Linked DNA regions of Xenopus tropicalis. The protein of the gene in region 4 interacts with the protein of the main gene of each other region in a pairwise test. Links are inferred from orthologs where the notes say so. Each region holds a gene or a part of one and is shown on either strand. Other genes may lie near its edges. The genes, in order: leprotl1, pln, cyb561, eda, dolk, emp3 and sec22a.

Region 1 (4,981 bases), on a different chromosome or scaffold from region 4:
AAAGTGTTTTGTGATTATTAAAGGGTTAATGCAGTACTATTTGGCTACTCACAATTGTGACCTACATTGAAAATAACTTTGGTTTCATAAAAATGTATTTTTTATGAATTATACATTTGTAAAACAGCACCAAACTATTGATATGTGGGTTAGGAAAAGCCCAGACCCTAATCCACACCCATCCATAACCTTCAGAATGTTGCCATTGTAGGACCTCCACCTTCCCACTCCGTATGCTGCTTGTGTGTGTATCTGTGGTTCCAAGGCTATCTTCAGGAACAGAGGAGTGTACTTTCCCAGTCTGACCTGCACCCAACCGGAACCTGCAATGGCTGCCCAAACTGTAACCCAAACCTACCAGACCCAATGGCAAACTATGGATCACAGGTCAACCCCATACATCGCTACACCAAATGACAATTTATAGGTACACCTTTCTGCTAAAGGACAGGAAAATTCACTGACGGGTCTTCCTCAAAAGAACTAACACTTAGTAAAACACTAGACATGCATCATTAAAGCTGCAATTTTTGCAGCTTTCATATTTATCCAATGTATTTCCAAATGTTACATTGTCCTTTAATAACCATAGTTGATGCTCCTATTAGCATACCAATGTTTTGACACACACCTAAATTAATGGTTATATATTTAAAAACAGTGCAAAACTATATTTAAAAAAAAAAAAAAAGTGAATTACAAAGTTCTTTCTCTGTGACTTCAGAGTAATAAATAGGATCGCTGTCTAAGGAATTAAAAAAAGTTACTCTCGCTCAGCAGCTTGTCACATGACAGTCTGATGACCCGAATAATCTCAAATAGCCAGCTATTCCCATAGGGAATCTAACATAACGGTAAAATAATGCATTGCTTTCTTGAATAGTGCCGATTTCTGTAAGACAACTAGAAGGGCATCTTTTGAAATCTTCTCATTTCTTGTAACTATATGGTGAACAAAAAAAAACAAAAAAAAAAAGCAGACATCCAAAAAAGGTTTTAACAGACAAAACATACAGAAAATATCTCCCCTGTTTGTTCTTGTGTCTCAGATGACAGCTTGACCACTTCATTCAACAAAAATCCAAATGCAACTTCAGAAATAAATATTATGGCAAAAAGAAGAACATGTGCACCTCCTGGCAAAAGGTGTTCACCACTCAAGCAGGTAGTGCTTGCTTTTGATGTTAGCAGCACAAAAATTTGAATACAGATAATCAGCAAAAGTTACATTCTATAGAGCAGTTAAAGTGTTTTATACTTACTATTAGAATGGATATATAAACCAATTAAGCTACTCATAATTGTGACTTACATTGTAAATAACTTTGCACCATTATGCATTGGTAAAACAGCACCAAACTAGTGATGTGCGAGTTAGGAAAAAATCAACACCCATCTCCAACTAACTAGCATTACTAGCTTACTGTAGTCACTATTGTTCAGTATGCCCAGTTTATTGCAATTTGCTGTGTTTATAAACAAGAGTAGCCTTCAGGATTGTTAAACATTAACAGTCTCTCTCTAAAGATATCTCCACCTAAAAAAGGTTTGTTTTTGTGTAGAATGATTCAAAGCTGCATAGTATCCCAATAATCAGCAAAAGTTACATTCTATAGAGCAGTTAAAGTGTTTTATACTTACTATTAGAATGGATATATAAACCAATTAAGCTACTCATAATTGTGACTTACATTGTAAATAACTTTGCACCATTATGCACTGGTAAAACAGCACCAAACTAGTGATGTGCGAGTTAGGAAAAAATCAACACCCATCTCCAACTAACTAGCATTACTAGCTTACTGTAGTCACTATTGTTCAGTATGCCCAGTTTATTGCAATTTGCTGTGTTTATAAACAAGAGTAGCCTTCAGGATTGTTAAACATTAACAGTCTCTCTCTAAAGATATCTCCACCTAAAAAAGGTTTGTTTTTGTGTAGAATGATTCAAAGCTGCATAGTATCCCAATAATCAGCAAAAGTTACATTCTATAGAGCAGTTAAAGTGTTTTATACTTACTATTAGAATGGATATATAAACCAATTAAGCTACTCATAATTGTGACTTACATTGTAAATAACTTTGCACCATTATGCACTGGTAAAACAGCACCAAACTAGTGATGTGCGAGTTAGGAAAAAATCAACACCCATCTCCAACTAACTAGCATTACTAGCTTACTGTAGTCACTATTGTTCAGTATGCCCAGTTTATTGCAATTTGCTGTGTTTATAAACAAGAGTAGCCTTCAGGATTGTTAAACATTAACAGTCTCTCTCTAAAGATATCTCCACCTAAAAAAGGTTTGTTTTTGTGTAGAATGATTCAAAGCTGCATAGTATCCCAATAATCAGCAAAAGTTACATTCTATAGAGCAGTTAAAGTGTTTTATACTTACTATTAGAATGGATATATAAACCAATTAAGCTACTCATAATTGTGACTTACATTGTAAATAACTTTGCACCATTATGCACTGGTAAAACAGCACCAAACTAGTGATGTGCGAGTTAGGAAAAAATCAACACCCATCTCCAACTAACTAGCATTACTAGCTTACTGTAGTCACTATTGTTCAGTATGCCCAGTTTATTGCAATTTGCTGTGTTTATAAACAAGAGTAGCCTTCAGGATTGTTAAACATTAACAGTCTCTCTCTAAAGATAACTCCACCTAAAAAAGGTTTGTTTTTGTGTAGAATGATTCAAAGCTGCATAGTATCCCAAGTCTTCCATGATGCAAAATGCTGTTTTTGTGTGGAGATCTTCTAGAAATACCAAACGTTCTAAAGTACGATTTGTGCCAGTAAATTCTTGTCCAGGCATCAAAGAGACTGCAAAATATTACACTACACTATACTACAGAAACCAGAAAAATAAAGCTAATAAAATCTACCAACATGAATCCCCTTTGAAGTACAGAGCTAAACAAATATCGAACATTTTGTTCCAGTCATTAATTTGCTGAGATATCGTGCTACATGTATTGTGAGCTATATGTATAAGCAACATAAACAAACGAGAGCGTCAAGTACATATTGCTTTGATGCTTGCATCGATTTAATCCGCGGCAATTACCTTTTATGCCTGCCATGAAGCTGAGCACACAGGTCCTGCAGCAGAAGAGATTTAAGCGAATATTCTGCAGACAGGAGCGAAAGAATTTCTGGACCTGTTCAGAACCCACACAAATAAACCAGGGGACAACCTCTCAGAAAAATGAATGGAGCGATTTTCGCATTGTAGCGGCTAGTTCCTATCCTCGGAAGGGACCTTCGTGACGTCACGGTCATGTAGTCACAACCCATCTTTTTCCGCCCACCATTCACTTCCTGTCTGAGCGCCTAACCTATCGTAGCGCAGGTCCTATACTAAGCGGTCACGTGACTGCAACACCGGAATCATTTCGCTATAGTTCCGAGTGGTTTCAGTGTGTCCGAGCAGAAAGCAAGATGGCAGCCTCTGTCAGACAAGACCTTACACAACTGATGAATTCTAGCGGATCGCATAAGGATCTCGCCGGAAAGTGAGTTTGCCGCTAACAGAACTTTTGGGACACATTTACGTTAGCGCGTAGGAACTAATAAGTGTGCATATGCTTGTGGTTAGTGCTCTGAGGGGGCTTTAGTGCCAGTCAAAAATTCTATTGGGCAGAAATGTTCAAATGAAAGAAAGGAAATGATTATATTGTGTGTAGATGAGTGATGTTACCGCTTATTGAATTGTTATCTGCGAGCCAATGTATGGCTTAGCATGGATAGAAAAGGTGAACAAGTAAATATAAACCAGATCTGACATTATAAATGTAAAATCAGTCAAGGAGTTCCGTGATGAGGTGTCTGGTATTTATGATTTCAATTTCATTTAATTGTTTTTTTCAAGTTCAATAAAACATTTCTACTGCACAGATTAGATGTTCCTACTGTACATTTGCAGCCACATGAGGAAAACAATTCCCCCAGTAGAAGATATACTAACAAACTGCAGCTATTACAGTCTTTACAGATCTCCCACTCCTCATTCATTATATCTCCTCCTCATACCTATCACAATTTTTTGCCTTTAATCCCCTATTTCTATGTCTTACATTTCACCCAGCCATTCATACTTTCTTCTTCTTATGTGTCGTTTAACTTTTCATAATTATACTTATTTACACCTTTAGGATAATTTGCATTCGCACTTTCCATCCTATCCTGTTATTTTTTAAATATCACTTTATTCATAAATTATTTAAAAAAAGAAGATAAAGGCAAACATAAGCAAATGTAATTAATATTCATATTAATGTAAACCATTAATATTTGTTTATCTACATAAATTAGTATATTTAGATAACTGTCAGATATGAGTGTTAGTGTGATGAACAATTGGAAGGGGGAATAAGCACCTAGTGGACGGTAGTTGCACCAAGTAGCTAAAAGTATATTGTGGAAATAAAAACCTAAATTGAAACTGAAACCTTATAGAGTGACCAGGATTTTGAATTCAAGCTTTACTTGACAGGAGTTGCAAAAACACAGTCCAAGAAGCCAAAAATATGTTTTCCTATATTATCCCCCATTGTTTTTCTAAGTGCTGGTTAATTTATCTTTCATGTTTTATAGGTACCGACAAATATTAGATAAAGCACTCCAACTTCCTGGCCCAGAACAACTTGAAGCCTTGAAAGCTTTTGTTGAAGCAAGTATGTTTGTATTTTTGGGTGTATAAAGGGTTGCACTATTGGGGAAAATGGGTTCAGTAATTATCTGACATAGATTATCTGACTTACATTATCTATGATAATATATAATATATATCATATATTATATATGATAATAGGAAATGTGAGTGCAAGTGGTGTGTGTGTGCAGGCAGTGGAAACCCAAAGATTCACATATATGAGGAATAAGAATTTTTCACAACATAATGGCAGTGTCTACCACCAGGGGTGTCAAAATGTCTCCTCTGCAACTGTTTTGAATGACTGTTTTGAGCC
Region 2 (4,940 bases), on a different chromosome or scaffold from region 4:
CTATATACCTCCAACACTGTCCATGTCTCTGAAATTCTAAAGGACTAATGGTCCCAAGTGTGCCTGAAACTGCAGTCTACTCATTTTCTGTTTAATGTACTAGCATTAATGAATTTTCCTTTTTAGGGAAGGTATGAAAAGGCAGCTTTGAGCTGACATTACATTAGGACTAGGATTCTCTGTCACTTCTGCACAAATCTATTCTACTAAACATGCAGACTTTCAAGTGAAAATGTAATGATATTGTAACACAGCATAAAAGGTTAATTTTCATCATATTTAATTATCCAATTGCTTAACTTATACTGTCTTATTTTCAATGACCTTATAAATGTATTACTTATATATTGAAATTTTTTTGTATGCCTTAGAAACTCATTTTCTGTTACTCTTCTTATAAATTGTATCATGGTCCTTTCTAGCTAGCAGATAAAGAGTACAGAGTTTGTCAGGAGTCTTGAGGAATAATTCCTCTGATATTCATCCTTTATGTGCCATAAAGCAAGATAGGGCTGTTGTTAGAACTAAAAAGGCAGAATAAACACCACTTTATAACAGGGTACACTACAACTACAAAAGGACACATAAAAAAACTGTGTACATGATTATACTCAAGAACATTTTTTGAAAGCTTAAATAGTTCCTAAGCAAAGTTTCTATAGATGTCAGTGGGAACTGTCTCAATTAAGTTTATTTAATTTATTTTTTTCCCAGTTGAGATTTCCAGCCTTATTCAAATTGACTATTATTATTTTTCAAAATGGCATACCCCTCAATAGAGCAGTTACCACCACCTACTAAGATTTCTTTAATGTAATAACACCTGACAGATCACTCAGAATTATGGTTAATTAGTTCATCTCTATATCCTAAGCCAGGGGTCATTAGACACTTTCAAATGTAAAAAGATTTGGGGAGGAAAACAAGCATAAAAATATGCACCTGGGGTACTAAATAAGGACTATGATTGGTCATTTGAGATCCCATATGTGGACTAGTAGCCTACAGGAGAGTCTGTTTGGCAGTACACCTGGTTTTATGCAACTAAACCAAGGCAGAAATTTAAAAATAAGCACCTTCTCTGGGGCAACTGGGAGCAATATCTATGGGGCTGGTAAACAACATTTTGCTCCCAAACCAGTGGTTTGGGACCACTCCTAAGGGCTCTGGCACACGGGGAGATTAGTCGCCCGCGGCAAAACTCCATGTTCGCGGGCGACCAATCTCTCCGAGTTGCCTTCCCCCTGCATCCCACCGGCGAACATGTAAGTCACCCGCGAACAGGGAGTTTTGCCGCGGGCGACTAATCTCCCCGTGTGCCAGAGCCCTAAACCTTTACATGGCTTGTTAATAATGCTTGCCATTAAGAAATACTTTGCATTTTAACTGCCACAATAAAGCTTTTTCACACAAGTGTGACAATACATTTTTCTGCAAAGTCCATTGTTAATAAGAAGAAACAAGTACACAACCACTTGTAGCAGAACAGAAAGAGAAGTCGGTAAAACAAATGCAAGATTTCACATACACAAAAAATATAATCTATAATTATATTAGTGGTCCCAAATGAACATGTTTTATCTTAAGCTAGTATTTTCTTACAGCTTTTATCCAAAAACTTTAGTGCAGATAATTAGGTAAACAACAGTTGATTTGCATTTTTAGAACTATGTCAATCAAATAGCCCATTCGTTTATGGGAAGAACTGCAACAGAGAACTTGCAGGCACATAACAATTATTATGTTTTATCAGTTCATCTCACTCTAAGGGAACTTTTGATTAATTCTAAGGAAGGAAACCACAGCCAATCTTAACAACAAACTGCAAAATTCTTTCCAAATATCAGGAGTCCTGCCTCTCACTGCGATTCTGCTTCCAACCACCCCTCACTCTCTCATTTCCACACCTCCTCAATTGTTGTAATAAACTGAGCGACAGCCCCCAGCCCTGCCACTGAGCTCAAGGCAAGCTGCCGAACACTTCCCACTGCAAAACTACTTACTAACAACAAAATTTCAATAAGGTAAGGGCATCTGCACTGTGAAACTAAATAATATTGCTTTTTAACATGCTTTGCATGTTGGCTTGCAGATCAAAGCAGCTTTATCCTGATACATACATTTCAGTCTGCAACTAAAATTGTCATCTAATTTACATGTAAGTGATATGAGTAGGTTTTAATTTTCAGTCTGCAATTCATTTATTTGGAATTCCTATTTTCAGCTAATAAAAGAAAAAGAAAGGTATTACAACCAGTTGTATAAGCTTGGGATTATTTGCAAAGATATGCAGCATCCATATTATATTTAGCTGACTGTCTCACAGACAATTATGTCCCTTGTGGGCTGTAAAAATATTGCTCTTTTAACAGACAGCTGCCAGCATTCTAGGGGGTTCTGGGAAATATAGCTTTTAACAGCTGGATGGGCTCTTTGACGTCTGTAGAACAGTATATAATGTAAATTATATTTATTGTAAGAAAATACTTTAATGTATGTCAATAGAATAATGGAATACATTTGTCAAACTCATCAGTTCCCCATGTCTTGGAACTTCAGATGTATTATTTTTAGGGCTGCTGAATGCAAATAAACACTGGAAATAGTCATGTATTTCTAATGCTGGGAAGCATGTTTGTGATAGCATGGGGAGGTCAAAATGTTAATGAGAAAGGTTCTCATAGGCATTTAGCCTGGAAACCAAGCCAAAAACTATGGAAGGAAATGTAATTGAGGCATTACAGCACAAAGAAAAAAAAAGTAGGGGGAAATATTTTAGTAGAGTGTTGGAAACTGGAAAGTAAGTCTGAGCACCATAGCCTATATTTCCTATATAGTATCACAAGGGCAAAAAGTGGCCCACATAGCAACTTTTTGAATGCTCTATGGCTCACTGTAATTGCTTACTCTGTTTAGATCTGCAGACGAGCAATTTTAAAGAGATAGAGTCTTGAGACTTTGCACCCTGTATATAAATGAGCAAAGCTTTAGCTAGTTGTTTTCTTTAAGCTCTGTATATACAGGCATTTGTCTTGCTGTTGGTGATGCACTTCCCAGTGTACACATTTACCACAGATGAACACTGTCCAGAGGGAGTGCATCTTCAGATCAGCATGACATGTTTCAGCTCAGTTCACCAGCAGGCAACACAGAATATAGAACATCAAAATGGCTCATTATGCAAAATATAAATACCACTATAAATAGTCACTGTTGGTGGTGCAACATGTTCCCTGGATACCTGGCCAGCCATTTACCATTTAAATAAAAGATCAGGACTCAAACAGTCCAATTTTAATTTACCCAACACCAATAGTGACCAAGGGGGTATGACCTTCCTTCTTCAGGGTATGTGATACATATATAGATTGAAACAAATATTGTGGAAATACACAATAATTTATAAGTGTAATAATTTCTTCTATTTTTAGATGGATATTCAGCTATATATTAGCTGTATTTTACCTGCATGTACAACACTAATTATAATGTTGCAGTCTTTTCATGAAACTTTCATGTCAAAGGGAGGAGCTGATTTTGGGTGCTTTTCAACCAGATAAAAAGGGTAAAATAAAAATCACACTGTGTGCCATCAAACTAGATATCCTTCAAATGCAAATAAAACAAATGTGGTTAAAATCCAATGCAGCAATCTGCATCCAAATGTTGCTTTTACATAAGAAGTAAGGCCAAGTTTGGGCAATCTACAAACCTCCAGAATTTGACTTAATGGCTAGCCCAAGATCATGAAATACTTTACTTTAGAGGGGAGTGTTGTTTGTGACATTCCTGGCCAAGCAGTAGTTAATACCTAATAACATAATCCTTTTGTTTACCAGGAATAATTTCAAGAGCCAGGCGGAGTAAGGGACTATTGGCCATGGCTCAGGGAGTACAAGCTATCCCACATAACAAACAGCACAAATAGTTTCATAATTTCTCCACTGGTGACCTTTTCCAAATCCAATATGATCTTTAGCCTACCCAAGGGCTTTAGTAAACTATGAAGGGGCATTCTTGCATCAGCCTTATTTTATTTCTTTGTAACGATTTCAAGTTTAAAAAAAAAAAAAAAAAAATAGTGGAAAAGAAACATTTTAATAAGTGGGTTAACCCACCTCCTATATAAAGCATGATAAAATTGTTTTGAAAGACAAATGTAAAAGTTTATTACAATAATAAAAAGAATACACCCTTATTACACTTTGCTGTCACTGTAAGCTTCATGAATGAACTTACTTGTGTTTGTTCACTTGAATTTATTTAACCATGACCTTTTACAAACGTATCTTATGTGAAGAGCCGAATGGGAAAAAAAATTATACTTTTGCTGGCCAAAAAAATCAAGACAAATGCTGGAATGCCTCCTAGGCTTTACTAAGCAATAGCTTTAATAATGAATCATCTCTCAGACAAGGATCTTACACAAAAATGGAAACAAGTATCTTTTTCTAAAAACAGTATATAACTTATAACCTTAACTCATCAGTACAATGCCTCTACACTACAATGAATTTGAAATTCAGTAGATATTTACTTTTGGTAATCTGCACATCAAACGGTCTGTCCAGCTGGAGGCCCATGGGCTAGATGCAGTCCTCTAAGTTATTTTTTGCTTCATGGACATATCTGAATGAGCCTGTGATATAAATGGGCTACACATATGCATTTAGAATTGTGTGTAGTTTGATTTTTGTGTTAAAATATTTCAGAGGATGCAAATAACTCATAGTATACAACTCTTTCCTGATATAACATGAATTAAGACTTTTTTTTTTTTTTTGTTAGCTGATCCTTTAGCTAGCAGCATATCATGTGTACATGCCATGCACCCCCAATACTCTCTGGCAGAAAGTTTCCAGTCTAGTGTCCTCCTACAAGTTTCAAGCTTCAAATTATATATCTCTAGAAAGCTCAGTAACTTGTGTAGTTGGTACACA
Region 3 (3,739 bases), on a different chromosome or scaffold from region 4:
GGCTGTGATGCAGGAGCTCCCTCTACTGAGCAAAAAGAGAACTGCAGCTACAGCAACATGGCAGATTCTGTGTAACAAGGTAGGTAACCAACAGTCCTTAATTACCTAAAAGTAAATTCCAAATACAGTGGAATTCTTCATAGGATTCCATAGAAGTGTTATATTTTGTTCTGATTACATTATTTAGTCTGAATCCTAAGTGAGACTCCTTGCACAATCGGCTAAGAGTTTCTATGTTCTCCCCATGTCGGGTTTCCACCTGAGAAACATCAAGCAGTTTAATTGGCTCAAGATAAAATTGCCCCTAGTGTATGTGTGAATGTGATAAGGAGCTTAAGGCTGATGCCAGACGTGGCGTAGGGCTGATATTTTCGGCAAGCGGAAAAACGTTTGGCGAAAATACAGCCCTACGCCTGCTACTTGTGCCTGCACCCGAATGAATGAGATACACTCGGGTGCAGGCACATGTAGCCGATATACGCATGAAAACGGAGACTTTGCATTCTCTTGCGTTTTCATGCGTATATCGGCTACATGTGCCTGCACCCGAGTGTATCTCATTCATTTGGGTGCAGGCACAAGTAGCAGGCGTAGGGCTGTATTTTCGCCAAGCGTTTTTTCTGCTTGCCGAAAATATCAGCCCTACGCCAGGTCTGGCATCAGCCTAAACTGTAAGCTCTATTGGGGCAGGCACTATAACCCCCAGCACCCTCTTACAGCTGCCTGCCTTCTCTTCTTTTCCAAAAGATTTATGGATTAAATCTCCCATAAGCAAATAGGCAGAAGTGCATGTTGAACATTTATTAGCACAGACATCCAGTGGATACAATTGGCACATAACCTAGGAGTGGAAGTAGAGCGCAGAAGGAGGACACTCACAAAGATGTGGGCAGGGGCATCAGACTGATGATTAAGCCTTACTTCTCCTTTAACACTTCAGAATGCTAGCTGTCAGGTGACTGGCCAGGAATAAACTTGCAATAAATATGAATATTTCCCATAGACAATCTTCTAAATAATTACCTTTTTTCCATCCTGGCACTTAAACTGCATTCTGATGCCGGGATCAGTGGCCTTGGCAAGCAAATTACAGTGGCATGGTCTAACAGGGTTTGGTTGTCAGGAACTGTTGAACAAAATTGGCACAGGCTGGCACCCATAGGTAGGTGTGGGCACAACAGCATTTTTAAGGCTGCATCTGTGTAAATGTTGCTTTGTCAGAATCCACATCCCATAGTAGTCCCGGTATAGGGACAGGTAGCAGTGAGGGTCCCAGCTGTACATAAGTTACAATCACAAGCAGCATCAGAGGTTTCGGACAGTAGAGCGCGTCAGTCTAAGCTCGGCATAGTGGCTCACTGATCAGTTGGGCTGTCTCCTTCAGTGAGGGTCTTAAAGTCCATGGAAAGGGCCTGCTCCTCTGGAAGAGGTGGGCGCCTCCATTCCTCTCGTGTCAGGATGTAGGCAATAACTGCTCCGAATACCACTAGCAGCACTCCCAGTGTGTTGACCAGGACGCCCTCTGCTGGCCGTTGTGAGTAGTCCCTGTTTTAAGTATATATTTTAATAGTTTGTAATATATCATGTATACAACACGCAGTATGTTCTGCATATATCTATAGACAATAAGCTCTATATATAATATATTCATCCTTATTGGTATTAGAAAGTAACTCATACAAGTCACCAATTGGTGTTTATTCCATTTACAAAAAAAAGTTATACAGGAACTCTGAGTATCACTCATGTATTATAAGGGATAATGTACTGTAAATTATAAGGATATTAGAAATTAGTGAGGGATTCTGTGACCATAAAAAGGCACTCGGAACTCTGAGTGTCTAATACATGAGTGATACTCAGAGTTCCCTGTATAACTCAGCCTGCAGCCTTGTGCCTTTATATGGGCACAGAACCCTCAGTGACTGCTAATATCCTTATCATTTACAGTAGGGGGTACATTATCCCTTATAATACATGAGTGATACTCAGAGTTCCCTGTATAACTCAGCCTGCAGCCTTGTGCCTTTATATGGTCACAGACCCCCTCAGTGACTTCTAATATCCTTATCATTTACAGTAGGGGGTACATTATCCCTTATAATACACGAGTGATACTCTGAGTTCCTTGTATAATCTAGCCTGCAGCCTTGACACACAAACACTTTTTGCATAGACCGTACAAAGGACGGTTACTTAGATCTCTCCCTGACGTGCCCTTTCCCTGCACAGGTGTGGCACCCTCCAGTTATTTATACACCGTGAGGCGAAGCCTGACCAAACAATAGCAAGCAGCCAGGGCTCTTTGTTTAGAAGTTGAATAAGTTCCTACCCAAACCAAACTAAAAGTTGTACTGATCAGTGCAGAAAGAAGGGAAGATTGATCCCGGCTCATACTGTGTGGGCAAGGCTAGCCAGCGCTAAGATCTGCCAGTGCGGTGGATTTCTATAAAATATATAACCTCTCTCCTGAGGGTTCTGTTGCATGTTTTGTGCAATCCCAGTCAAAATGGATTATATCTAAATAGAACTTGTATAGTGGGGCTAAGTGGAATGTTTTTTTTTTTTGTATCGAAAATGAAGCTCCATCTGCAAGGCTGCTGTGTGTGCTAGGTATTAAGCCCTGTGTTGTAGTTGCTCTTGTCTTTGTGTGTAGCAAGTCCACTAGCCACCAGCTGCCATGCCACAAATGTCCCAGTGTCCTCCTTTCAAACCAGAAGCAAACTAGCCTGCCATAGTATTACTATGAATAGGTAGCTCTTTTCTACTGGTGTTAGCAAATGGGATACAAATATTACAAGCGACATTACCCAAGAGCTTTAACAGAAATCATTTCCTCACCACCCACGCAGGAGATGTGTCAGCCGCTGAAAACGTAGCTTTAACCTCTTCAACTTTTAGTGTATTATAGAATGGCTAATTCTAATCAACTTTTCAATTGGTCTTCATTATTTATTTATCGTTTTTTAATTACTTGCCTTCTTTTTCCAAACTTTTGCAGGTTTTAAATGAGGTTCCCTGACCCCCAGCAGCAAAAAAACTATTGCTCTGTGAGGCTACAGTTTTATTATTTTTTATAATTTATTTTTCTATTTAGGCCCTCTCCTAGTCATATACCAGCCTCTCTTTCAAACCACTCCCTGGTTGCTAAGGTAACTTGGACCCTAGCAACCAAATAGGTGCTACAACTCCAAACTGGAGAGCTGCTGAACTAAAAATGGCTAACAAGAACAAAGTATGCACACTTCAAGACAAACACACCACTGAATAGAATCAATTGTACTCTATATTAGAAGTCACTGAGGGGTCCTGTGACCACGCAGGAGGCTGCAGGCTGAGTTATACAGGGAACTCTGAGTATCACTCATATATTATAAGGGATAATGTACCCCCTACTGTAAATGATAAGGATATTAGCAGTCACTGAGGGGTTCTGTGCCCATATAAAGGCACAAGGCTGCAGGCTGAGTTATACAGGGAACTCATAATTCATGAGTGATACTCAGAGTACCCTGTATAACTCAGCCTGCAGCCTTGTGCCTTTATATGGGCACAGAACCCCTCAGTGACTGCTAATATCATTATAATTTACAGTAGGGGGTACATTATCCCTTATAATACATGAGTGATACTCAGAGTTCCCTGTATAACTCAGCCTGAAGCCTTGTGCCTTTATATGGGCACAGAACCCCTCAGTGACTGCTAATATCCTTATCATTTACAGTAGGGGGTACATTAT
Region 4 (4,667 bases):
TCCCCGTGTGCCAGAGCCCTTAGTTCTCCTTTAAAGTATCAGTGCCTACGTTACTTTAATTTTAAAGTGAAGTTCCCCCTTTAAAATATTACTATCTGGCCACACGCAGGCCAAATTTCTATGGGCTGACTAATCAGGCTGAATGTGATGCAACCACAAAAAAACAAATTGCCCTGATTTGATAAGTCAGCCAGCAGGATTGCACAGGGTGAAACCCCTTATGCTTCCTGTGGGCCAGTGACCTACCACAACTCCAGATTGTGATGGGCAGACTGCATGTTATCACAGCTAAACTAGCTGCAATCCAATACCATTTCAGTCACCCAGAATGGCTGGCAAAAGCAGCAATCAGATAATTTCAGTCCATAAAGAGAAATCCACCTGCACTCAATAGAGCTATGGAGAAATTAACAAGAGAATACGATACCTGCCAAATTCACAGTCATCATCTGTGCACCAACACCCAAGGGGCAAGTTATTCCATTCCAACAGAAAACTTCTAAATAGTCGGGTCAGCTGTTAAGCTCTGGTTCAAGAAGAGTTTATTTTTTTTACTGCATTATATGGCAGTTGCACGAAAGCATTAGGGAAAGAGGTTTCATTAGTTACAGAACAGACATATCACACAGTTTCGCCAGGGTATGAGATTTAAAGCAAGGTATAAGACTTGGGTACATCTGGTCTTCATCTCTGTGTATTTGGATCCTGTTTGCTTAGAAATAGTCTGTATATTTCTGTTTATCGAGTTTGCAACTAAGCAAATCACGCCATCGCCAAATCAACGGTTTTCTAAGTAAAATCAAACTCATGTAGTGGATTCTGGGTATTACTTAGAATAACACTACAGAGTTGAATACAATGCCCCTGTAGCTGGGGGGCAAATGAATGGTTTCTACTGAACTGCAAATTCACACAAACCATTGGCAGTCACACAAAAATAATTGCGAGACATGCTGCGGTTCAGTGATTCCAGTACAACTGCCTGAGGGCCAGTTCTAATGGTGACCACAAAAGGCAGAGAATTAGTTCACTGGTTGGCCATACAAAAGTAAAATTTAGAGATGTATCAAGTTGTCCAGGCAAATATTCTTCAACTCATGTGGCTTGCTGAATAGAACTGCTCATTTGTTTGGCAGAGCCGCAGTCCCACTCTTTTCCAAATCTACTGCATTCATGGATAGCCCAATGGCTCTGATTCACTAAATGAGCTGTGTCCCATCTCACTTCCAAAACTGCCACTGCCTCATGTTCATTAACAAGAACCATCACATTTTTAGTCTGGACAGACCAACTGCAATTTAATGGAATTGTAGGACAATATGTTCTAAAAGCTGCCTATACAAGCACAGTTGGCAATACCAATGCATGCATGGCAGCCATTACTGTAAATAAACCATCTGCATTTACAATCCTAGGTGATACCCTTATACCAACACCAAACAGGGTTCCATTAATTCACGGACAGCAAACAGCAATGGGGCCAATCTAATATACAATTTAGCAGTAAATATTAACATGGCAAGAAGAATAAACTTATGTAGTTCCATTTGGTTTGTTCCATTCAGATGCAAAAGGCTAAGTTTGCATTCTACTAGACTAAATCCACTTTTCTCTCTTGTAACAAAGGACAGGAGATTGTTCTTTCCATTACAACAGTAAGGTGTTTGCTCAGTCCACTACCACTTATATATATTATATTTTCCATGCTATGCAAATACATACAAGAGCTTGCCACCAATGCACACCATACATAGGCTCAACACAGCAGAATGATGGTATCATCTGATACAGGCGCTAAAGGGGATGTAAACCCAAATATAATTTTGCTTAATTAAGGTACTTGTTATGCAAAGCAACCCTCCAATATATATGTATTGTATAATTGCTACAGAGTGCAGTCCCTTTCTATTCTCTCTATCTCTATTGGTATTACTTTTACAAATAACTTTGAAATCATTGACGTTTAGAATGAAGGTATATTGGAAAGCTGTCTATGAAGATTTTCATTCATCCAGGTCATGGTATATCTAGTATAAATAAATTTGAAGCAACTGGACTTGTTTAGTAATCATTGAAGACGTTTCACTACTCATCCGAGCAGCTTCTTCAGTTCAACTGAACTGAAGAAGCTGCTCGGATGAGTAGTGAAACGTCTTCAATGATTACTAAACAAGTCCAGTTGCTTCAAATTTATTTATACTAGATATATTGGAAAGCTGTTTAGAATGACATTTTCTTTCATTAAGCAAACTGATAGCTTTGGGTTTACATCCTGCAGCAGTCAGTGGGTGCCAGAGGTGCTGGAAGTTGCAGTTAACCACTGTAGGATGTATCTCTTTAACATGCCTGTAGACAATGAAGGTAGCAGTGAATTGTTCAGATAAAGCACACATTAGTAAGCTTGGAATCCCCATAACTGATAAGCACTGATTTAGCTGCCTGATAAGGAAGATAATGATTGACAGTTTTAGGTGAGCATCTCTAGGACAGTGGTCCTCCCCTCTGTATGTCCCAAAGGGTACCAGATGGGCCAGCTTCCAGGGCATCCTCACCACTGGAAATCCTGCCGGAGCGCTACACTGATCATCTAAAGTGATGCCCCAGCACCCCCTGGCATGCACTGACAGCATTCATGTAACAGCTGAAGAGTGACAGGTTGCTGCACATCCCTAAACACATCCCATTGCAACTTGAGGCACATCTCTCCCTGCAGAGGCCCCTGGTGCTGTTGTGAAACTACAACTCCCAGAAGTGGAGTAGGAGGGGCTGAAAGTTGTACTTCTGTAAATATTTCTGAATGACTTCCCACTAAATGAAAGAGTGGAAGGTACCTGTCGCCGGTCGTTGGGCTGCTGCATGTCAACCAGTCGCAAAGCAGTCCTCCACTGCTGCAAAGTCCCTACCGGAGCTTCACTTGTCCCCGAACCCCTAGACAGCTCCCGTCTTAACTCCGAGCGCAATTCCAGATAGCAGCAAATGGTCACCAGGTGTAAGGACAATGACAGGACGAAAAAGCCCAGAAAGAGCCGGCAGCTCCCACAACGTTTCGGACAGGCACATGCAGGCTGCTGCTGCAGGGAGGAGTCAGAGGAGTCCATGCCACGCTTGTCCGAGGAACTCCGCGGTGCCATGCTCGGGAAAGGAGCGGCCCCAAGGGCGCACTGGGACTGTGGGGGGGAACTGCAGCCACTAGAGCGCCATGAGTGGCGGCCGAGGCGAGCCCTACAGATGCTGGCGGAGAGGAGACGCGGGAGGGACGGGACAGCAGGCGAGCTGCCCAGTTCTGCCACAAACACGCCTCCAACATTCAAAGCCACCGCCCCCCTAAGCCCAGCATTTTACACTGGCCCCGCCTACTCGCCCCGCCCACAACAAAGCAAAGCTGGGAACTCTTTTCCAGATAAAAGTGCGCCTTATCCCAAAATGCACTGCGTCTCATCTCAGCGACTCCTCCCCAAGATCACATGCGCAGGGTGCCATCTGTCGGAAACGCAGGGAACTTCAGCGCCCTGTTGTGAAAATATGTTTGACAGCTGAGTGATGTTATGATATATGACAGTACACGCCGCAGGTTATATTCTGTAAAGCTATACAATTTACAATACTATGTGGTGCCACAACGTATTTGTCATTGTGCATTAATATTCTTTTTAAAAGGTGCATGGTTGTTGCCTGTACATACTACTAAACTACTCTGTCCTTGCAGCTGGCAGACATATCCCCAAATGCCTGGGTGCAATAACCCATAGCAACCAATAAGACTTTTGCTTCTAAACAGGGTGCCTGCAAGTGACTGGACCTGTAGGTAGCATTGCCACCTGTTTTACTGGAAGGGCTGGTAAAATTAAAAAAATACATTTACACACAGAGCTTCTGGAAGCCCAATGTGCCCCCAAGTCGCCTTAATGCATCCCTTCTACAACATCAGTATAAATGCCCCCAGCGGCCCAGACCCGACACTTGCAGCGCTCCCTCTGCCCGACCGTTCCTCCCCTGACTCGTTAAATTTACGAGCTCGGGGCATACCTCCCAACATTTCATTAAGAGAAAGAGGGACAAAAATATGTGACGCGGGTAGTTGGTGAAATTTTTTTGGCCACGCCTGCTTTGTGACCACGCCCCCACATACCACACCCTCTTTACATGCCCCAGATGTGCCATTATAATCACTAAATAAAAAGAATAAAGGACATATTAACTTCAAAAGTGTCAGTATGACTACATTAAATTGATAAAGGGCATATTAACCCCAGACATCCCAGTAAAATTACTAAATGAAACTGATAAAGGGCATATCAACTTCAGACATGCCAACAGTTATGTGCATTTGCCAAAGTTATAAACAGGGCCAATTCCAGTGGTACATAAATCTATGTTATTTCCTTCTATTTTTTATCAGTTGAAAGCAAAACAATATTAATGTACCACTAGAAGTTCTAGCCGTATTAACAAGGCCTAAGGTTCCCAGACTTATAAGGGCCCCTTTTAAATGTCTGCTATATTTTACCTCTTCCCCTGCATGCTGTGCTCTGCCATACCTCCCAACATTTGAAAAATGAAAAGAGGACAATATTTTGACCACGCCCACTTTGTGGCCACGCCCCAATTGCCACACTCCATTTTTAAATTAGTTAAAATAGTGCCCACGATGGCCCAATAGACAGCAC
Region 5 (4,894 bases), about 21 Mb from region 4:
TCTTTTAATATTCCAGTCTCTCATTCAAAGCACTGCCCGATTACTATGGTAAAATTGACCCTAGCAACCAGACAGCTGCTAAAATACCAAACTGGAGAGATGCTGATAAATAAGTGAAAAAAAAATTGCAAAAATGTCTCAGAATATCAATGCCTACATCATACTAAAAGTTAATTTAAAGGTGTACTACTTGAGGAAGCAGCATTTAGGGATGTATTAAAGGGGGCATATAACCACTTTTTCAGTAGCATTTGTGTTTCCTAAACAGCTAGGGGTGAGCAAGGCCGTATCTACCATAAAATAACCCTCGGGCCCATGACTTTAAGGGGCGGCCCATGGGTACCTCTTTGATAAATAGGGGAAAAAATGCTACTTATAAATAGGATAAATGCCCCCTTTAATGAAAATACACTTTTTCTTTTTAAAAATGGCTATACCGATGCTCTGCCAAAGAGCCATGTTTTCTTCTTGCCACCCTTATACCATTAGCAGTATATGGAGGTACAGCGGCAAGACCAGATTATCTATTTGTGTAGTGAATGCTTCCAGCAGCGACACCAGAGTAATGGACCCCAGAATCCAGACATAGCCGCTGTTTAGGTTTACGCTGCTGTCAAAGATTAGAATAAGGGCGGCTGCAATGATCTGAGCGAATATAGACATCATTGTCCCCTCGAAGGTCTTCTTTGTCCCAGGCCACCTTAGCTCACCCATAGCACTGCCACAAACAGAGGCCACGGTGTCACCTACACCCACAGCCAGTACGCCTGCATATGGGAGTAACGTGGACGAGCCTGTAAGGGAAGTGGCACAGACCCTTGGAAACAGCCACACTGGCAGTGACATGCCCAGCAGCAGGTAGATGTGTGTTAAAATAAGGGGGCCGCTGTCCCGTTCATCCAGAAACAGAGTCAGCAGGTTTCGTAGAGTCTGCCCAAAGGGCTTGATCCGGAAATACCGCATGTATTCTAGGAGTACAAACACTGCCAAGCAAATGACAGATGCCACGTACAGTAGCTGCCGGTCGTATAGGAGTCCAGGAATGTAGGTAGCCACAGCCAGGAAGTGGAAGTATTTGCGAATCGTTGTTGAAACATGAAGCTTCTTTGAGTCTGGAGACCTCTTGGAATTCTGGTGCAGAACCACAACACACGCAATAAGTGCAAGAAGCAGCCAGAAGGCCAGCAAGTATAGCCGAGTGTGGGACTGCACCAGAAACTCAAGCAGCCATAAAAGTGGGTGTCTACGTATCAGGTACTGCAGCCAGGGCACAAAGACCCCTAAAGCCAAAACAGTGGTCATCATGTAGAAAAACAGGGCGGAGGTGCATGAGGAGGAGTCCATAAACACAAAGAGAATGGAGAAGATAATTCCCACCAGGACCAAGGCAACCAATGTTACCAGCAGGAGGTAATCAATGGGGTCTCCCTTGCCCCCCGCAGAAGTGAGAGAACACTTGATAAGCTGGTTGAGCACAAAGCTCAGGCCTCCTAGGATGAGCAGTGCCTCCCCAGGGGTGAAGCATCGTGGGAGCAGGTACAGAAGGATCATGCTGAGGTACACAAAGATCAGCAGAACTTCCAGGACTTCTATGACTTCAGAGACCGCCAGGGAATTTTTCATGGTGTAGAGTATGGCACTGCCGGCAATGCCAGAAAGGATGCAGGTGTTTCTAGGGATAGGTTTAGTGATACCCAAGGCGATGATGGACAGGAAGTATGCCAGAGCCATGCCGGTAGCAGATATGACCACTCCAAAGCGTTCAAAGTACACACTTCCAGATATTTTACACCTTTCTCTCATTGCTATACCCAGAAGTGGGATAACCATGCTGGCCGGAAGGAGGCCGCTGTTGGCAGATGATCGGTACTGAAACACTGCCCCTCCTGACTGCAGGAGGCGATCCCATTTGTGTTGCACGTAAAAAGCCTGGATGGCTAGGGCCAACGTGCACCACGAGAAGCGGTCCCAGACCACGGCGTGAATGCTTAGGACTATGCCAAACACCACCAGAGACTCGGCTACAATCAGTTTATTCACCATGGTGCCTGCGGGTGCCAGATCTCTTACTTTCCTTTCTTCTGCAAGTGCCGATATGCTAACTGAATCTCAATGTACAAATGGCCACTTCTTTGGTTTGCATGATCTTTGTACATACAGTCATTGGTCACACCTACAAACAAAACATTCCATATGTAAGTTACAAAGACACCCCTCCATTTCAATCCTTCCCAGCAATCTTTTCTGCTGCCCTGGGCAGGTGCTTGCAATTAGCGATTATAATTACTGGGGGGGTGGGGGTGCCTAACAAATTACTCTCCAACCCAATGATTTACCCTTTATTTATTATACAAGTCAGCCACCTTAGATCAAATGCAGTGGGAATATAAGTTGAGTGCTTGGGGCTTCTGGATGTGAATGCCCAGTGTGTGACCCAATGCATTCTCTTCTGGACAGTCAGAACACACCTGCACCATATTCTAACTTTGATCCAAATGTTTTCACTGGATGATCGAGAAAATCATATCATAATATAAAATAAGTCAGTGCAGCAAGACCCATCAACCAACCAGAGATAAACTTAGATATTCTTCTTTCCTTCAGAGGAATAGTCCACGTTAATGGCTGATTGGTTGCTATGGGATACTGCACTGAGCAAACCAGCCCATGGATTATTATAAATAGAAAGAGAATACACTTGAGGGATCAAATAGAAATATTTTGTTTATAGTTAAATAAGGCCCATTCCACCATACAGGTCCCAGAATCAGCAATCCCCATGGCTACACAGGACTCCTTTCAAACGAAACACCCTTTTTATACCAGAACAGGGTAAAAACGAACATATTGATTAAATACATCATTTATTAGGGTCTAGTGCCCATTAACCAGAATGGAGGAGAACTATATCTACTAATGTAACATGGGTTGTAACACCACATTCAGATCATTGTATGCTACAGACAGTTTATAATGTTAAACCAATAAATAGGATTTTTTCCTTTCAATTGCATTAGCGGAAGCCTTCTTGCTCCTTGGGACGAGGGCAGCAGTAATGCATTAGGGGAAGTGCCCTCCAAACAATGAGTCAGTCTATTAACTCATAACAACACAACAAAAGCCTCCGGGCAGCAGAACACCATACGGGGTATATGGGCAATATATGGGCAAGGCAGCAGTGACACAGGGTTAGGGCGAAGGTGAAAGATCTTTGTGCAGCTTCCATTCTCTCACCTACCTTGGCCGCCACCATCTTTAGTCCGGGCGGAGGAGCACTAGTGCAGTCACCCAATCAGCTGACTTCCGCCAGGGCAGGAGCATCACGTGATATACGCACCGCGCTGCTGGAGAAGTGGGGGGGGGGCTTGGGCTCGTCACGTGTGAGGCCGTGAAGGGGGCGTGAAGATGGCGGCGGCCGGGTGTCTGTACCGGAGGTACCGGGGAGAGGAGGGTTTTGGAAGGGGATGTGAATTCCGAGCGACACTGGAAGCTGCAGCGGCAGCATATATAGAATTTAAAGGGAGAAGGGAGGGAAGTTGGTTCCCAGGGGACAGAGGGAAGTCAGTGCGAGTGAGTCAGTCCATGTGGGAAGCAACAGGGAATAGGAATATTGCTGGGCAGCCCGGCGCTATATGGGGAGAGCTTTATATGGCCATGTGGTTATATGAATGGAAATATCCGGCACTGACATTAGAAGAGCGGTTAGAAACTTTCTCAGGGCTAACCGGACTGTACCATTTTCTCTCTGACAGGGGCACATGCTTCAGATGAAAGCAAGCCGTGTTGTGCCGTTCGGAGACCTGGATTAATCACTGTATAAGTCATTTGCAAAAGCAAAATGATAGTGTTTTCTCCTGGACTTGGTCCCCTGGACAGGGCAGAGACTCTCCTGGTCCCCTGTCTGGCTGGCTGCGGGCAAGGCAGAGAGTTGCCCCCCTGTCTGGCTGCGGGCAAGGCAGAGAGTTGCCCCCCTGTCTGGCTGCGGGCAAGGCAGAGAGTTGCCCCCCTGTCTGGCTGCGGGCAAGGCAGAGAGTTGCCCCCCTGTCTGGCTGCGGGCAAGGCAGAGAGTTGCCCCCCTGTCTGGCTGCGGACAAGGCAGAGAGTTGCCCCCCTGTCTGGCTGCGGACAAGGCAGAGAGTTGCCCCCCTGTCTGGCTGGGGGCAGGGCAGAGTTGCCCCCCCTGTCTGGCTGCGGACAAGGCAGAGAGTTGCCCCCCTGTCTGGCTGCGGGCAAGGCAGAGTTGCCCCCCTGTCTGGCTGGGGGCAGGGCAGAGTTGCCCCCCTGTCTGGCTGGGGGCAGGGCAGAGTTGCCCCCCTGTCTGGCTGGGGGCAGGGCAGAGTTGCCCCCCTGCCTGGCTGGGGGCAGGGCAGAGTTGCCCCCCTGTCTGGCTGCGGACAAGGCAGAGAGTTGCCCCCCTGTCTGGCTGCGGGCAAGGCAGAGAGTTGCCCCCCTGTCTGGCTGCGGGCAAGGCAGAGAGTTGCCCCCCTGTCTGGCTGCGGACAAGGCAGAGAGTTGCCCCCCTGTCTGGCTGCGGACAAGGCAGAGAGTTGCCCCCCTGTCTGGCTGTGGACAAGGCAGAGAGTTGCCCCCCTGTCTGGCTGGGGGCAGGGCAGAGTTGCCCCCCCTGTCTGGCTGTGGACAAGGCAGAGAGTTGCCCCCCTGTCTGGCTGCGGGCAAGGCAGAGTTGCCCCCCTGTCTGGCTGGGGGCAGGGCAGAGTTGCCCCCCTGTCTGGCTGGGGGCAGGGCAGAGTTGCCCCCCTGCCTGGCTGGGGGCAGGGCAGAGTTGCCCCCCTGCCTGGCTGGGGGCAGGGCAGAGTTGCCCCCCTGCCTGGCTGGGGGCAGGGCAGAGTTGCCCCCCTGCCTGGCTGGGGGCAGGGCAGAGTTGCCCCCCTGC
Region 6 (3,868 bases), on a different chromosome or scaffold from region 4:
GTTCAGGGCATGATATACAGTATCTAGTGGGAAGTCTAAATCAGACCTATCATTACTTCACGCTGTACTGTACAGCATACCCATGAATGAAAGCCTTAATAGACATAATTCCAGGGTTGAATTAGGAGTACTGGTCATAAATGTAAATTTTACTCTCATTCTAACCTTTTTTAAAGCCTCCAGGCATATCAGCAGCCTGGATATGATTCTCTCTTTTGCCTTCATAATGTTCGACAAATGTTCTCCAAAGACTATGGGTTACGTACTTTGTATATATATATGTTTCAGTAATTGAACAACATTATTATACTTTTATTTTTAACATATTTTCATTATAATGTTTCTGTTCTAATAGCACTGTTGTAGAACAATAATATTTAAAGGGAAACTCCAGCTTCCGAACCAAATTTGTTAAACACAACACAGAAACCCCTAAATACTTATCACTGTAATCTGTTATATTATTATATTATTTTTATATGCTGAAATCCAGAACAGTTCTTCTCTTTCTGCATCATTTAAAATCCTAGCAGGGGAGGAGTTCCCCTTTAAAGGACAAGTGTAGACGTTCTCTCTAAGACACCCTGCATACAAAAGCAAATGACTTCACACAGTCTGCAGAAACACTGCATTAATGTGGGACTGTATTAAAACCTGTTTATAAATCTGTGTATATTACTACATATTCTTTCATATATTCTAACTAGTGATGTTCAGGCAAGCCTGAAACCTGTGGATTAGCGGGATGCAGGTAGAATTCTGACCACCACCCTCCCCACCCATGACATCAACATACTGCTAGTTCTCCTCCAGCTGTCTGTTGGATGCTTATTTATATGCTCACACATGCCCCACCCCTTCCGCTGATGTCAGTGGGTTGGGTGTGGGTATATAAATAATCACAGCTCGCCGGGTTGGGAGTGGACTGGTCAGAGTGCGGGATGACTTTTTATTTTTTTTGACCTACACATGACCAGTGCCATACCTGATTATGTTGACTACAATTATTATTATTTTCAGTTTGTTACCAACCATATCTAATTTGCAGGTGTAGAACCTCAGACTTTGCCTACTGGGTGGGTGGGAGTAGAAAATGGAGGGCAGGAGCTTTAATATTCCTAGTTATAGTGATGCCTTACCATTAGTAGATACAGAAGAACACAACCAGACTCCCGTGTTGTTGTCTAGAAGGCAGTCGTACCAGAGGTTCACAGTCTCCTCTTCAGAGAATACCCACCAGGACTAGACAGCACAAAGATGAGAGGGTTATTAAGAAGGTTATTTCAGTACTTCAGTTTCTATCCTTATTCCATTAAGGGTAATGAAAGGTGAAACTGGTCAAATCCTACAAGCTTCCAAATAAAATTAGTCAAGAAGCAGTATCTAGTAGAATTAAGTCTAAATAACTGGACTTTTCTGAGTTTTTCTTGAAAACGTTTCACATTTCATGTTGATGACAAGTGGTGTCACAGGCCCCCTCCTCTGTTTAGACACCGCTTCTCATCAACATACAATGCTGCTTTGACATCCTTACCCCGGCGGTTTCGCAACTTTTCACACTTCATGTTCTTTGAAGGGTTAACACCTGCATCAATGAGATTCATGGAACCATTGTGATTGTATCATACCTTCTTACACCTGTCAGTTTCAGCCAACCCCTAATTGAACAAGTTCAATGGAACCATTGTGATTGGATGTCTGTGACTGTACTACCATCAAGAGTTTAAATACCGGGGAATTCCCTACCAGTCATTTGAACTGAAGAAGCCACTCGGATGAGTGGTGAAAGGTTTTCAAGAAAAACTCAGAAAAGTCCAGTTGTTCGAGACTTAATTCTACTAGATACTGTGTATCATGACTTGGATGAATGAGAATGTTATTAAGTGGGTTATTTCAGTACTATAGTTTCTATCCTTATTCCATTAAGGGTAATGAATGGTAAAACTGATCAAATCCTACAAGCTTCCAAATAAAATTAATCAAGAAGCAGCTAGTTATCCCCACAAGAGATACATAACCAATTTAAACCAACAGGCACAGATTCAGCACATAGGGTGCAACATGCTGGAGGGCATTTTATTGCTTCATGTTTGAGGGTATGTCCCCTTTAGTCCAGTCAATATCATGCTCTTGACCCAGTCCATCAGGCTATGTTCCCTTCTAGTAGGCTGTATGTACAAAACCAGCATTTTAAAAACTGCATGCAACACTGGCCAATGTGCTGGGTCGGTCTCAGCTGCACATTGTATAAACACGGACTCTAAAGTGGTTTTATATTATATATATATATATGTGTGTATATGCACAGGAAACCTCTCCACAACTGCCAGAGCTTAGAAGGGACATTCCCACCAGGACTAGTATATTTGTGTTCATTGGGTGAAGAAAATGAACACATTTGTTCTACTCAGCGTACAATTGTCCCCTGTCTTTGTTTTTGTTTTACTTACATTGTCAAGTGTGGCAACGAAGAGGATCACCAGTATGATGAGATGTAAGGCAGTGACGCCAAAGAGTAGGAAGCTCATCTTCAGTTCTAGAAGAAAGAGAATATATATAGTATTACATACAATTACATACAGTTAGCAATATATTTTACAATGACAAAGAGGATATTCCAGTCCCACCACCTCTAGACTATAAGCTTTTGCTCTTTTATTGCTCATAGTAGTTCATAGAACCAAAAAATATAGACTTGGTAGATCCCTGGTTAAAAGTGTATATTTATTTGTGTGCTAATAACAGTATTTCCCTTTAGATTCTGTGCTGACCTCTATAGGATCTCTGATGGTCACACATGTAACCAGAGACGGCCAATGACAATGTATTTGGCATCTGTGCCTCTGAATATCTCAGTCTCTAAACCCGAGGCCATCTGATAACTGTTGGAATAGCAATAACTGGCAGCCATGAATATTCTACAAATCCGGCTATGATAATTGCTCTTCTTTAATTAAACCAAAGAGGTAGAGCCGGTGATAAGATCTGATTATCACATTTGAAGACAAGGTGAGATTAATATTTTGTTCCCTCAAGCTGCAGCAACATTTGTGTTTTTCTTCTAGTCATTCTCTTCACTAGGAACATAACTGGAAATAAATTGATGTTTAGGGTCTTTACTATGGGACCTATAACTGCTGTACGGTATTATCAGCATACATGGTTTGACAAAGACAAAAACAGGAGACTGAACATTGGTCATAACAGTAAAATATCAGATATTTGCAGAATTTTAGTTCTTTAGGTGCCACTTCACCAGTACAGTAGCCTACTGGAATCAAAACCTTCCTCTAACAACTCTAATGGAATTATGAACAGCTTATTCCTGTATGGTGTAAAGTTTCCAATGACTGTATTGGAGCAAATGAAGGTTTGAATTTCATCTACAAGACTCATTGCCAACTCCATGCTTGAACACTTGGAATATTTGCACTCCTTTGGGCTGGCTATGGACACAATCAGTTTAGTGTGCAACGGGGAGGGGGTCACAGTTTTCCAAGTTTGCTCCTTACATTAATGTTCTATTCCTCTCTCTTCCATTCTGTTTTATCCAGATATGGCCAAATATATGCCATTTGGTTGATGTATGGATAATACGCAGTGATGCCCAACCAGTAGCTTGTGAGCAACATGTTGCTCCCCAACCCCTTGGATGTTGCTCTCAGTGCCCCCAAACCAGGTAGTTATTTTGGAATTCCTGACTTGGGGGCAAGTTTTGGTTGAATAAAAACAAGATTTCCTACCAAATAAAGCCCCCTGTAAGCTGATAGTGTGCATAGAGGCCCCTAATAGCCAATCACAGCCCTTATTTGGCTCCTCCATGAACTTTTGGTGCTTGTGTTGCTCCCCAAGTCTTTTTACATTTGAC
Region 7 (4,229 bases), on a different chromosome or scaffold from region 4:
TTACCCAGGGGGAGGTTCCTGCCTGACCATGGGAAAGAGAGCAGCCCAGGAGCAGGAAGTACAGAGAATCAGAGCTCTGTACCTGGGTAAGTACTGGGGGGAGATTGGATTCACTTACCCAGGGGGAGGTTCCTGTCTGACCATGGGAAAGAGAGCAGCCCAGAAGCAGGAAGTACAGAGAATCAGAGCTCTGTACCTGGGTAAGTACTGGGGGGAGATTGGATTCACTTACCCAGGGGGAGGTTCCTGCCTGACCATGGGAAAGAGAGCAGCCCAGGAGCAGGAAGTACAGAGAATCAGAGCTCTGTACCTGGGTAAGTACTGGGGGGAGATTGGATTCACTTACCCAGGGGGAGGTTCCTGCCTGACCATGGGAAAGAGAGCAGCCCAGAAGCAGGAAGTACAGAGAATCAGAGCTCTGTACCTGGGTAAGTACTGGGGGAGATTGGATTCACTTACCCAGGGGGAGGTTCCTGCCTGACCATGGGAAAGAGAGCAGCCCAGGAGCAGGAAGTACAGAGAATCAGAGCTCTGTACCTGGGTAAGTACTGGGGGGAGATTGGATTCACTTACCCAGGGGGAGGTTCCTGCCTGACCATGGGAAAGAGAGCAGCCCAGGAGCAGGAAGTACAGAGAATCAGAGCTCTGTACCTGGGTCAGTACTGGGGGGAGATTGGATTCACTTACCCAGGGGGGGTTCCTGCCTGACCATGGGAAAGAGAGCAGCCCAGGAGCAGGAAGTACAGAGAATCAGAGCTCTGTACCTGGGTAAGTACTGGGGGCAGATTGGATTCACTTACCCAGGGGGAGGTTCCTGTCTGACCATGGGAAAGAGAGCAGCCCAGGAGCAGGAAGTACAGAGAATCAGAGCTCTGTACCTGGGTAAGTACTGGGGGGAGATTGGATTCACTTACCCAGGGGGAAGTTCCTGTCTGACCATGGGAAAGAGAGCAGCCCGGTATAACCAGGGTGTAAATTCCAACTCATAATGTGAGACACCAGTGATATAAATGTACATTGGTTTAATGTTACAGAAATGTTTTTAAATTTGAAACCTACAGAAAATCCTCACTCACAAAACATTAAATCTTTAATAACAATAATAATAATAATAATAAACAGTAGAGATGATTCTGAACCGCAGGAAATGTACTCAAAATCTCCCAGAAAAATACAAGTTGTTCTTAATTAAATGAGCAGAGCCAGTAGGGGAGCTAATGGAATTAGTGCTACAGATCTCGTTAGGAAATCAATATGAAAGAAACAACAAATCCGATCAATGAGAGAGGGAGGGAGGTCGCCGGGAGTCGGGGTATTATCCAAAAATGGTATTTAATAGGAATATTACTGCCAGCGCTCTGGGAAAGGGCAGAAACCAACTGCAAATAATGAATAAAATCATCGTTATCCGATTGCGGATAAATTCCCGTAAGGTCGGAATAAGGATTAATCAATGACAAAGGTTTAAAGGGGAAGTTAAAAAAAAAAAATGACTTTCAATAATATATAGACAAGGATACAGGGAGCTATGTGTTTTATATACTGCTATCTGGTTGATAGGCTACCTCACCCTAGCAACCGTGGATTTGGATAAGGAAAAGGGATTTAATTGTTTATACATAAATACCATTGACAGGGCTATTCATCTACAAATGTATCTGCCCTTCTCCTTAACCCATTCCAGGACCTTCCCCATGAAAAATACAATAATTCCAGGATATTGTTGGGGAGGGAGAGACGGCACAAGCTCCATGTCAGATCCACCATCTGCTCTTCATTAGGGGAGCGTGAGTGCGTGCGTTGTGTCCTGTGTTGTGTTCTCTGCTAAACTGTCACACTTTACTGCTGCGCTGCAAGTTGGCGTGATATCCCCCCCCCCTCACCCCCAGCAGCCAATCAGCAGAACAATGGGAAGGGAGCAAGATAGCAGCTCCCAGTAGGTATCAGAATAGCACTCAATAGTAAGAAATCCAAGTCCGGCTTGGGACTCCTCCAGTTACATGGGAGTAGGAGAAACAATAGGTTAGCTGAAAGCAGTTCTAATGTGTAGCGCTGGCTGAAAGCTCAGACTCAGGCACACTTTACTGCTGCGCTGCAAGTTGGAGTGATATCCCCACCCCCTGTACCAACTTATTGTTTCTCCTACTTCACATTGTTCTGCTGATTGGCTGCTGAGGGTGGGGGGTGGGAATATCACTCCAACTTGCAGCGCAGCAGTAAAGTGTGAGTGAAGTTTATCAGAGCACAGGTCACATGGCTGTGGCACCCTGGGAAATGAAGAATATGGCTAGCCCCATGGGAAAACAGATTACAATGCAGGATTCTGCTGGAGAAGCTCTAATAACTGATGGGTTTGTAACAAACAGGTTTGGCCATAACAGTATTCCTTTAAGCTTTAGTTCCCCTTTAAAAGGAAAAAAAAAAAACTTGATTGGTTGCTCAGATTTACCCTTTACTTCCTTACACACTCAGACCCTGCTCTCTTGCCCACCCAGAGGGAACCCTATTACATGCCCGGCACCCACGCAGCACCCCAATTACTTACTGGACATTATGGGGCCCTCTCCTCAGTGTGCACCTATCAGGAAGCTGCTCCAGCTTTTTGGAAAGCACTTTCAGGTATTTCTTGGTCTCTTGCACGGACGTGTTCTGTTCATGGTCGGTTGAGGCGGAGAGTGGGAGCCCGTCTCTTACACGCACCACCGAAGCGAAATGGATGAGTGACATCTCCCGGAATGGCGAGCTGATATACACACAGATACACTCAGTACCTTGTTATTATATATTCACCCCCCCCCCAAACATATGTGTCCTGCCCCTATACACAGGCTCATGGGGGGCTTTATATGCATTTATACCCCCATTACTATGGGCACAATGGGGTCTCACAAAGCATTCACACAAAGTAACATAATACAAAGCCACTGGGGCATTTATAGCAGCAGCAGTCCTGCCCTGCTTTATGGCTGAGATTCTAGCTATCTGTATAACAGAGCATTCTGTCACAGTGGCACAGATCCTATCTGATCCCCCCCCCCATTGTAAGCAGCAGTCCTGCCCTGCTTTATGGCTGAGATTCTAGCTATCTGTATAACAGAGCATTCTGTCACAGTGGCACAGATCCTATCTGATCCCCCCATTGTAAGCAGCAGTCCTGCCCTGCTTTATGGCTGAGATTCTAGCTATCTGTATAACAGAGCATTCTGTCACAGTGGCACAGATCCTATCTGATCCCCCCATTGTAAGCAGCAGTCCTGCCCTGCTTTATGGCTGAGATTCTAGCTATCTGTATAACAGAGCATTCTGTCACAGTGGCACAGATCCTATCTGATCCCCCCCCATTGTAAGCAGCAGTCCTGCCCTGCTTTATGGCTGAGATTCTAGCTATCTGTATAACAGAGCATTCTGTCACAGTGGCACAGATCCTATCTGATCCCCCCATTGTAAGCAGCAGTCCTGCCCTGCTTTATGGCTGAGATTCTAGCTATCTGTATAACAGAGCATTCTGTCACAGTGGCACAGATCCTATCTGATCCCCCCATTGTAAGCAGCAGTCCTGCCCTGCTTTATGGCTGAGATTCTAGCTATCTGTATAACAGAGCATTCTGTCACAGTGGCACAGATCCTATCTGATCCCCCCCATTGTAAGCAGCAGTCCTGCCCTGCTTTATGGCTGAGATTCTAGCTATCTGTATAACAGAGCATTCTGTCACAGTGGCACAGATCCTATCTGATCCCCCCATTGTAAGCAGCAGTCCTGCCCTGCTTTATGGCTGAGATTCTAGCTATCTGTATAACAGAGCATTCTGTCACAGTGGCACAGATCCTATCTGATCCCCCCATTGTAAGCAGCAGTCCTGCCCTGCTTTATGGCTGAGATTCTAGCTATCTGTATAACAGAGCATTCTGTCACAGTGGCACAGATCCTATCTGATCCCCCCATTGTAAGCAGCAGTCCTGCCCTGCTTTATGGCTGAGATTCTAGCTATCTGTATAACAGAGCATTCTGTCACAGTGGCACAGATCCTATCCCCCCCATTGTAAGCAGCAGTCCTGCCCTGCTTTATGGCTGAGATTCTAGCTATCTGTATAACAGAGCATTCTGTCACAGTGGCACAGATCCTATCTGATCCCCCCATTGTAAGCAGCAGTCCTGCCCTGCTCTATGGCTGAGATTCTAGCTATCTGTATAACAGAGCATTCTGTCACAGTGGCACAGATCCTATTTG

Evidence for each region.
Region 1: the proteins of eda (region 4) and leprotl1 interact in binary tests that used the Homo sapiens proteins (3 or more experiments, as listed by UniProt). The two-hybrid records come from large-scale screens. The link is inferred for Xenopus tropicalis from reciprocal best matches to the Homo sapiens genes EDA and LEPROTL1.
Region 2: the proteins of eda (region 4) and pln interact in binary tests that used the Homo sapiens proteins (3 or more experiments, as listed by UniProt). The link is inferred for Xenopus tropicalis from reciprocal best matches to the Homo sapiens genes EDA and PLN.
Region 3: the proteins of eda (region 4) and cyb561 interact in binary tests that used the Homo sapiens proteins (3 or more experiments, as listed by UniProt). The two-hybrid records come from large-scale screens. The link is inferred for Xenopus tropicalis from reciprocal best matches to the Homo sapiens genes EDA and CYB561.
Region 5: the proteins of eda (region 4) and dolk interact in binary tests that used the Homo sapiens proteins (3 or more experiments, as listed by UniProt). The two-hybrid records come from large-scale screens. The link is inferred for Xenopus tropicalis from reciprocal best matches to the Homo sapiens genes EDA and DOLK.
Region 6: the proteins of eda (region 4) and emp3 interact in binary tests that used the Homo sapiens proteins (3 or more experiments, as listed by UniProt). The two-hybrid records come from large-scale screens. The link is inferred for Xenopus tropicalis from reciprocal best matches to the Homo sapiens genes EDA and EMP3.
Region 7: the proteins of eda (region 4) and sec22a interact in binary tests that used the Homo sapiens proteins (3 or more experiments, as listed by UniProt). The two-hybrid records come from large-scale screens. The link is inferred for Xenopus tropicalis from reciprocal best matches to the Homo sapiens genes EDA and SEC22A.

What each region holds. Positions count from the first base shown.
Region 1 is NC_030677.2:83,711,771-83,716,751, reverse strand, and holds the start of leprotl1 (leptin receptor overlapping transcript-like 1), read right to left. Parts: upstream 3,293-4,981; 5' UTR 3,095-3,292; coding exon 3,079-3,094; intron 1-3,078. Other genes in the region: cops4 (COP9 signalosome complex subunit 4), read left to right, coding at 3,453-3,526, 4,608-4,687. UniProt on the Homo sapiens protein: Negatively regulates growth hormone (GH) receptor cell surface expression in liver. May play a role in liver resistance to GH during periods of reduced nutrient availability.
Region 2 is NC_030681.2:73,815,094-73,820,033, reverse strand, and holds the start of pln (cardiac phospholamban), read left to right. Parts: upstream 1-1,917; 5' UTR 1,918-2,024; intron 2,025-4,940. UniProt on the Homo sapiens protein: Reversibly inhibits the activity of ATP2A2/SERCA2 in cardiac sarcoplasmic reticulum by decreasing the apparent affinity of the ATPase for Ca(2+).
Region 3 is NC_030686.2:16,658,537-16,662,275, reverse strand, and holds the end of cyb561 (cytochrome b561), read right to left. Parts: intron 1,546-3,739; coding exon 1,356-1,545; 3' UTR 787-1,355; downstream 1-786. UniProt on the Homo sapiens protein: Transmembrane reductase that uses ascorbate as an electron donor in the cytoplasm and transfers electrons across membranes to reduce monodehydro-L-ascorbate radical in the lumen of secretory vesicles.
Region 4 is NC_030684.2:43,623,298-43,627,964, reverse strand, and holds the start of eda (ectodysplasin-A), read right to left. Parts: upstream 3,362-4,667; 5' UTR 3,132-3,361; coding exon 2,832-3,131; intron 1-2,831. UniProt on the Homo sapiens protein: Cytokine which is involved in epithelial-mesenchymal signaling during morphogenesis of ectodermal organs. Functions as a ligand activating the DEATH-domain containing receptors EDAR and EDA2R. May also play a role in cell adhesion.
Region 5 is NC_030684.2:22,852,808-22,857,701, reverse strand, and holds the start of dolk (dolichol kinase), read right to left. Parts: upstream 3,326-4,894; 5' UTR 3,239-3,325; exon of another isoform or gene 3,235-3,238; intron 2,174-3,234; 5' UTR 2,044-2,173; coding exon 478-2,043; 3' UTR 1-477. Other genes in the region: nucleoporin NUP188 homolog, read left to right, coding at 3,406-3,434. UniProt on the Homo sapiens protein: Catalyzes CTP-mediated phosphorylation of dolichol, the terminal step in de novo dolichyl monophosphate (Dol-P) biosynthesis. Dol-P is a lipid carrier essential for the synthesis of N-linked and O-linked oligosaccharides and for GPI anchors.
Region 6 is NC_030683.2:115,864,684-115,868,551, forward strand, and holds part of emp3 (epithelial membrane protein 3), read right to left. Parts: intron 2,537-3,868; 5' UTR 2,529-2,536; coding exon 2,451-2,528; intron 1,243-2,450; coding exon 1,140-1,242; intron 1-1,139. UniProt on the Homo sapiens protein: Probably involved in cell proliferation and cell-cell interactions.
Region 7 is NC_030685.2:88,978,584-88,982,812, reverse strand, and holds part of sec22a (vesicle-trafficking protein SEC22a), read right to left. Parts: intron 2,744-4,229; 5' UTR 2,728-2,743; coding exon 2,546-2,727; intron 1-2,545. UniProt on the Homo sapiens protein: May be involved in vesicle transport between the ER and the Golgi complex.